2 linked regions of the Schizosaccharomyces pombe genome follow. The protein of the gene in region 2 interacts with the protein of the main gene of each other region in a pairwise test. Each region holds a gene or a part of one and is shown on either strand. Other genes may lie near its edges.

What was found.
Region 1: the proteins of sds22 (region 2) and dis2 interact in binary tests that used the Schizosaccharomyces pombe proteins (3 or more experiments, as listed by UniProt).

What each region holds. Positions count from the first base shown.
Region 1 is NC_003423.3:3,172,609-3,177,189, reverse strand, and holds dis2 (serine/threonine protein phosphatase PP1 catalytic subunit Dis2), read left to right. Parts: upstream 1-2,091; coding exon 2,092-2,143; exon of another isoform or gene 2,144-2,211; intron 2,212-2,492; exon of another isoform or gene 2,493-2,539; coding exon 2,540-3,471; 3' UTR 3,472-4,025; downstream 4,026-4,581. Other genes in the region: hom6 (homoserine dehydrogenase), read right to left, coding at 1-387, 457-496. UniProt on the Schizosaccharomyces pombe protein: Essential role in cell cycle control. PP1 is perhaps required for exit from mitosis.
Region 2 is NC_003424.3:2,572,473-2,576,539, forward strand, and holds sds22 (serine/threonine protein phosphatase PP1 regulatory subunit Sds22), read right to left. Parts: upstream 2,070-4,067; 5' UTR 2,002-2,069; coding exon 1,879-2,001; exon of another isoform or gene 1,824-1,878; coding exon 948-1,823; 3' UTR 688-947; downstream 1-687. Other genes in the region: fatty acid synthase alpha subunit Fas2, read right to left, coding at 1-96; pts1 (20S proteasome complex subunit beta 5), read right to left, coding at 2,634-3,452; SPOM_SPAC4A8.14 (ribose-phosphate pyrophosphokinase), read left to right, coding at 4,029-4,067. UniProt on the Schizosaccharomyces pombe protein: Essential for the mitotic metaphase/anaphase transition. Positively modulates protein phosphatase-1, possibly by forming a repeating helical rod that is capable of enhancing a PP1-dependent dephosphorylation activity.

The sequences.
Region 1 (4,581 bases), on a different chromosome or scaffold from region 2:
TCTCCTTGCTAGCCTTGATAATGTTTTGATAGACATCATTACTAGCAGAGAATGCTTTCTTGTTGGGAGTAGCAATGTTGATTTTCTTGCTCAAAAATTTAGGATAAGATTGAGCGATTGCTTCAGAGGCAGTGTTATCGACCAAAATGGCGGGAAGGGGGGACTTGGCAAGGAAATCTACCAAAGCATCTAATGAATAAGCACCTTGGTTCTGAGAAGTAAGGTTCTTCCATTCAGACAAATTAATGGGCTGATAATCCTTGGAGACGTAGTGACCTTCCATACTAGAAATGGCAACAACGTTAAAAGAGGTAGTGCCATTGGTAGAAGCGTTTTCATTAAAACCCTTAATTTGGTTTAAGAGTTCACCGCCGATGTTTCCTGTACCTATTTATTTTTAAGTGATTAGCTTTCGCTTTACAAAACATTCAAGCATTCAATTTATTGTGTGCTTACCAACAATAGCAACGTTAACGTTAGTTCTGCTAGCTGACATTTTCAAATAGTGGGTGGGAGAGGTAGAGATGCTACGACGTTGGGTCGGATTACGAAAAGCAGTGACAAGGGTTTTCTCAAAGGAAACTTTGGAAGAGGTGATATACGAATTGATAATTTTGTTGTAGGGAAATAAAATTTTAGAAAGTGTAGATAATTTAGGGAGATTTAAATTTTTTCCATGTCTAAATATTGTCATACCAAACATTTTTTAGAAGAGTTTATTTTATACCCAAAAATGAGTTTTCAACCAAGGAAGGATCTTTCTCTCTGATTGATATCAAAGTTTTGCAGGTATATTTGTTGTGAACAAAATGTGAGCGACATTATATTAATCGAGTCAGAACATATTTGTAATAATACTCAAAAGCGCAAAATCTATTACTGTAGCAATAATGATGTTGATTTCGTTTGATACAAATTTTATTTAATTTGATTTTGTTTTATTGAAGCTCCGCTAAATAAACTTAGCTAGAAATCTAGTATAGAAGCCGATTTATATAAATTAATCACAAATTATAAATATAACGCATTAAATTTCATATATGGGATTCAATGGCATACAATCATATATTTACTTTTACAATTAATAAAAACCACTTAATCAACTTATGTGATTTATTAGTGTTTATCGACTCGTGAAAAAAAATATTTAATTTTTTGCTTCGTAAATTAAATTATATGCTGCTAAGTGTCTAAATAAATCACATTCCATCCATCAAATTTGCTTTTTTATTATTAAAAAAAAAAAAAAAAAAAAAAAAAAAAGAGATTTTTGAAGAGAAAAGTCTAGGGTTCAAGAAAATGAAAAACTGTAATGAAACCAATCTGACTATATAATTTGTTAATTATATATGCATATTATTATGATTAGCAAACTCAAATCATAAGCAGGTGCAGCTTTTTCAATTTAAAAGTTCAGATAACATACATTAAATTATTTATTTATTTTCTAAATCAAGCTTAGAAGAAAATAAAATATTATGATAAAATACTGCGAAATTAAAATGTTCTGAATATACCATTTTAAATTCTAATGAAGTTTTCTTGCAAAACAATAAACCGATATTATCTTGAAGTAGGTTGCTATCTCTTAAAATATTTAAATTATTCTTCACCTTTTATTAATAAAGAAAATTGAATCAATTTGCTAGACAATTTGTAGAGCAGCAAGATTTAGAGGGTTGTTTAAAATCAACAATTAATATAAGAAAAGAATTCCAAAGTAATTTAATTATAGGTTTATATACGTTTTTTTAATGTAGTAGTGATTATAGAAACTAGGAATATAGGAAAGTAGGCACATATTATGCATCAAGCTCGTTGTACACCCACCACCCAACCATTCAACTACCTACTACATACAACTCACTCCAGTTTCCTACTGTTAGCCATAACCTTTATTTCTGAGTTAGCAGCAAATATTGCTTTTAAACGGTTTGCCGACTGAATACCGTTCTCCGTCCGTCTTACTTTTCCTCGGAACACTTTACTTGGAAGAAAAATCGTCGAAATTCGGTCGAGTAAAAAATTAATCACAGACCCAAAAATTTGACTTCATAAGTGTCAAAAGCGGTTATATTGGATACCTGTAAAATGTCGAACCCAGATGTGGATTTGGATTCCATTATCGACCGCTTGTTAGAAGGTGAGTGGGGAAAAGCAGACTTGATCATGATGAAGGGTTGAGTTTAGACAAATTTTTGAAAGGAAATTGAAATCAGTTGTTGTTTAATACAATAATTTACATGAAGAAACTGGAAACGACTCTATGTAAATGTTCATTCAACTGTTCATAAAATTTGAGGAAAACCCAGGAAAAAGGGAAAGTTTTTTCTTTGAAAACGTTTAGAAAGCATTTTCTTTGATTCTTGGTCTCATTTGTGATGACACTTGCTTTATATACATAATCACGCATATTTGTATTCAAATGCGATTGCATATTGGCATATATCGTGTTTCTGTGTGAATGATTTTTCTAACCAATACTTCCATCCTTAATTTTACCATTTAAACCATTTAGCTATTTACTAACTTCTTTTAGTCCGTGGTAGTCGTCCAGGTAGACAGGTTCAATTATCTGAAGATGAAATACGATTTTTATGTAACAAAGCACGTGAAATATTTATTAGTCAACCTATCCTTCTAGAGCTTGAAGCTCCTTTGAAAATTTGTGGAGATATTCATGGCCAATATTACGATCTTCTTCGACTTTTTGAGTACGGAGGATTCCCTCCAGAAGCCAACTATCTGTTTCTAGGTGATTATGTTGACAGAGGAAAACAAAGCTTGGAAGTAATTTGTCTTTTGCTCGCTTATAAAATCAAGTACCCCGAAAATTTTTTTATTTTACGTGGAAATCATGAATGCGCCAGTATTAATCGTATCTATGGATTTTACGATGAATGTAAGCGCCGTTATAACATTAAGTTATGGAAAACATTTACAGATTGCTTCAACTGCCTTCCTATAGCAGCTATCATTGATGAAAAAATTTTTACTATGCATGGAGGTCTTTCGCCAGATTTGAACTCTATGGACCAGATCCAAAGAATCATGCGACCGACCGATGTCCCTGATACTGGGTTACTCTGTGATTTACTTTGGTCTGATCCTGACAAGGATCTTACAGGCTGGGGTGATAATGATAGAGGTGTTTCTTTCACGTTTGGACCTGATGTTGTCTCTCGGTTTTTGCACAAACACGATATGGATCTTGTTTGCCGAGCCCATCAGGTTGTGGAAGACGGTTATGAGTTCTTCTCTAAACGTCAGCTAGTCACATTGTTCAGTGCACCTAATTACTGTGGCGAGTTTGATAATGCAGGTGCGATGATGAGTGTTGACGAGAGCTTGTTGTGCAGTTTCCAGATTTTGAAACCGGCTGAAAAAAAACAACGCTACGGATACCAAGGTTCAAGTCAAAATTGGCACATGACTCCACCTCGGAAGAATAAGACAGGAAATTCAAAGTAATTTAAGCTCAATCCAATTTCTCCCATTCTTTTTTGTTGGTTTCATTTTCCACAAGCAACAATTCGACGATAATACCGCTTTATGTAGCTGTTTGAACGGATTTCTTTTCGTCATTTCTCAATGGTCGATGATTAATTGTTCATGAAATAACTGAATGTTCTTTTAAGAAATTATTTTTTGCACTACCATTTCATTATTCATTTTCTTTCTTTTCCGTCAATTGTTAGATGTATATAGACTATTGCCTTTTATTTTTCATCATCTAAATTCCCTTTTTTAACAAAATCTGACGCTTAAAAGACGGATGTTTTTACCGAGCAATAGTTGTTTGAACTACTTTATACTTCTTATCTTCGAGAGAGTGCTTAACGTTGATGATGGCATTTTCCGCTGCAAGCTTCTGTTTGCTATCGGTGGAATCCTTTATAATGACCATTGACAATTTTGTTTAAAGGTCTTTCATTTCAATTATGTATACTGGTCTCACGTTGGAAAATAATTTGCCTATTTAGTTATTGTTTATACTACTATGCAATCAAATTTCCTTTTCAGTGATGCTATTTTATGGTAGTTCACACGTTTATATACAGTAGGCTTATACAATGTTTCGGCATTCCTTGGGATTTGATAATATAAAGCCACCGTTTAATCGTAAGAGAGAGTAAGGTGCTTATTATCATTACAGCTATTTACCGGCGAGTTAGCAGAGTACTCACTAACAAGTCTATGAACACAATAATAATATTAAGAAATTCAGATTTATACTGCTGCTAAGGTACTATCAATTAATAGAAAATTTGTACCACCCAATTCTTGACTAAATTCGGTGAAGATTAGCCGAAAGTTAGCCAATATGTATAAGGGCGAATCATCAGTCTAGCACGAAAAACAAGTTCAACCGCAATTAATCTCACGGGTAATTTTGTTAAAAAGTGCAATGATACAATTTACTTTAGATTAACAGAACGTCACAGCTATTCATATACATCCAGTAAGAGCTTACTCTACGCATTCGCTTTAAATTTAACCGGCAGACTACCTTTATTTTTAGAAGCACAAATCAAACGAGATTCTCATTTTAGAAATCCAAAATTTTTAAAACGTTGAATT
Region 2 (4,067 bases):
TTGCGTCTCAATCCAACGGACAGGAGATGCAAACTGGTATGCAAGCAACTCCAATAATAAAGTATGAGCAAGCTCCTGCTCAACTTCTGGTCTCATTATTCAAATGGTTTAACAAAACTCCAACACCTGCTTTAGTTGTTGGTTCTAGTTAACTTGATCCTTTACTATCGCGTGGGAACACTCAGGTTAAACCTATCAGCTTTGAAGCATGTAACGAATATTTAACGCATCGTTATCAAATATAGCGAATTAGCAACTGCTTGTGGCATAATTAACATTTTATCACTCTCTACTACACAGTATAGTAAGCTTGTAAAATACTTTTGAGTAATTATCAGTTATAGAAAGATTTTAGAGAGAGATTTTGTTAAATATAAGATCATCTCTTTTTCAATTTAGTAAATTTAGCAATAAACAAGAAGCATCTTACCTTGTTGGAATTGAGCGTTAGGTGCTCAGTTTTATCATTAGTCGAAACAAAGTACACTGTTTACCAATAGTCTATTTAATAATAAGAGTATTATTTTTATCGCGATCTGCGAGAGCTTTTAAACTAAACACGTATTTCGACTATGTGAGATAACTATAAATATAGAATTTACCAGTATACGTAAAACTAAGAAAAACCATATAAAACTATTTGCCAACTTATATCTACCTGCCACCGATTTTATACGCAATTCTTTTCCAGCAAATTACATAACTTTTCAAGTATGAGTGTAAACGTGATCAACTAACATACTATCTAATAGATAGATGACAACGAAAAAAGCATTTTACTACTAAAGTGTACTCTCAATCGTAGAGAACTGTTCAATTGTAAGATGTATCTAATAAATCTTTAGTCGTATACTTTCTTTCAATACTTTGGTTGTATAGCATTAACGGAGGGAAACCATATTGAAATGTTTTAAATTAAGAGATTTTATAGTCAATCCATATAACGATTAGGGGAATTGCTTCGAAGTTTTGGGGATAATAGTTGCATCTATTTGGCGTAACTGTGGAAGACATAATCTAACTTTGTTACGGTAAACAGCAGGATTGGTTTTCTGCAAAGGATTTCCCTCAAAATAAACGGTTTCAAGTTTTTTAAGACCAGAAAGCTCGTCTTCAATTTCTTGAAAAGAAGACAGTTCGTTATTGCTAGCCCATAATTCTACTAGATTTTTTAGTCCCGCTAAGTATGAAAGGTGCTTAATCATGTTGTTGGAAACATCCAAAATTTCAAGGTTTTCGAGGACCTCAATACCAGAGAAACTAGTTAGACCATTATGCGATACATATAATTCTCGAAGACAATGGGATAAGCAGGCCAAGTTTTCAAATTGAGTTATTCGATTTGATTGAATTGATAAAAGAGAAAGTTTCTGTAATTTTTCAAAATTCTCGAATTTGGTTATTTTGTTTTTGCCAACCCAGAGTTTTTCTAAATTAACTAAAGTATCCAAATTCTCAATTACTCTTATTTTGTTCCCCCCCAATTCAAGGTTCGTTAACCTGTCTAAACCTTCTAAATTTTCAATTCTCCTAATTCTGTTTTGGACAAAGAAGAGGTTTTCTAAGCCCTTTAAATGGTTAATGTTTCGAATCGTTTTAATATTGTTGAAAGACAGATCCAAGTAAGTGAGATTTTTGACATTATCCAAGTTTTCAATTCTGACAATTAAGTTGTCATACAAATCCAATTCAGTCAATGTTTCTGGAACTGATTCAATTTTCTTGATTTGATTTTGGCGAAGACATAAACTCTGTAAATTTTTAAATCTTTCAAGTCCAAGAGATGCCATGCTTTGTATACGAGACTGAATAAGCTCTACGCACTATATTAAGTTGGTTAGCTATATTTCAATTTAATGATTTAAAGATATCATTTACATCGACGTCGTCCGGCACATCATCAAGCAGATCTTCATCTGCATCGATTTGCTGGACATCAGGGTCATCAATGATAAGCTGTGTCTCAGGAGCAATTCCATCTTCACTGGAAACGTTACTCATTGTAAAAAAAGGCGATATAATAAAAAGGGCAAACGTGTTACAAACGAAAGTACTATATGCTTTCAAGTAGAGTACCGTGACAACATAACGACGCTTTAGGAAGCAACGATACTCTTGCTATAGCTTTTTACAAATCTGTATAGTTTTTATCGAATCGTTAAAAAACTCACTATAGTGAAACTCATAGCATACCGCAACATAAAATAATCTTATTCAGCGAAAATCATTAAGTTGACTAAATGCTAAACAATCCCAATTGCAGCTTAATTGTTTAACAATCGTTAGTACTCATCACATTAATGGAACAATTATCATATGGTGTGTATAGATTTATTAATGAACGATAACTTACACGGTAATATAACCCCCTCCTCGAATACTGATAAAAACAGATTTGAAAACAAGGTTCATTTCAAGTCATGTTAAGCTAGTCAATCAAATATATGGCAATGTGAAATTGTACATTCTCTGAAAGAAGTTACAAACGATGTATAGTTTACGGAATTGACTTCGACATTCAAATATAAGGGTATAAAATAAATGAATAAATGACAGTTGACCTAGAAGGGAATAGCAAATAACAACGTCTCATTTAATACACCGATGACACATGACTACTAGCAAGCATGAGTTTAGCGAGGGATATGAGCAAAGGAGTTTTCGTTATCTTTTGCTTCCCATATAAGACTATCAACATCAAAGTTTCCATGGAAGACCCAACCATTTTCATCAATGTGATAAAGATTTACTGAGCCACCAGAGTATGCATCTCTGTGAGTGGCAGCAACAATAGAGCGCTGAGCTAAATAAAGAGCTTCTTGTTTAGATAAGTCCCAGCGATATCCAGAGTCCAAAACACCGTACGCAAATGTAGAACCTGAACCAACGGAAAACAAATCACCTTTCAATCGGGTGCCATCACTGTCGATGTAGTAAAGTGCAGTACCACCTTTTCCTGTTCCAGCAAGCATAGTACCCATGCTAAGTCCATAACCCTTGTATGAATAAGTAATGTTTGAAAGAATTTTGCTAGCAGCAGAAACAGAGATTAACTCCTTATTTCTAAGTTGATGTAAACGACATTCCATTCCTAGAACTGTCTCCCAAAACTGACAGTCAGCTGCACCACCAGCAAGAGTACCTAAAAGATATGGGTTTATCTCTATAACTTTTTTAACGGTTTGTGAAGCAATAAGAGGACCGGCAGATGCTCTCGAATCTACACAAACAACGATACCATGTTGGTAACGAAAAGCTAAAGTAGTAGTACCATGATTCATTTTAATAAGACAATGCTTGTTTTTCGTTTCATCTGTTAAGTTTCGTAAATAAAGAGAAGATTGAGGCACTGGTACGACATCAAATCGATTTGTAAATCCTTCTTCTTCTATTATTTTTTTTGGGTCATCATTGTTAGTACTTTGTGTATACTTAGATACGATAGAATTCATGATTAAAGAATAGTATTACGCTCTTAGCACGTTCGTCGCTCAGTCAGCTTACGGCAAACACTCAATATAGCGACTCTCTTAGAAATCGCTATTATAATATTTGGAACACTACCGCGACTACTGTTATGACTAAACGCAAAAGAAGCGAAAAATGTCAAACATTTTTAAAAATAAGTTTTTGTCAAATTTAAATTATTTTTGTTTTCTAGACTTAATAGTAATATTTCAGCTGATTTTGTATATTTATCTAACATTTTAGGAATGCCAATTTATGAGTCCATGTGACCTATCTAGCATGTTGGGAAAACAAAGAAACTATCGTTTTAGCGTGCCATTTTACAGTTACGTTAAATAAGTATACCGATGCTTAAAACTGGCAAATAAAAAACAACAGAAAGTTACACTCTTCTTTTTACTCAATTACCTATACCTAGACGCATCTGTTTAACGGGAAAACGATAATATAATTACTTCTCGTAGTTCTAGCACATATATAGTTTTTTGAAGCTCACTTGAGTAATTTTGTAGATTTTGAAATTCGGGAACCGTAAGTTGAGGAAATATATTATAGGGAATATGAAGAGTGCTACAATCATTGGAGGCGGTTCTCATCCT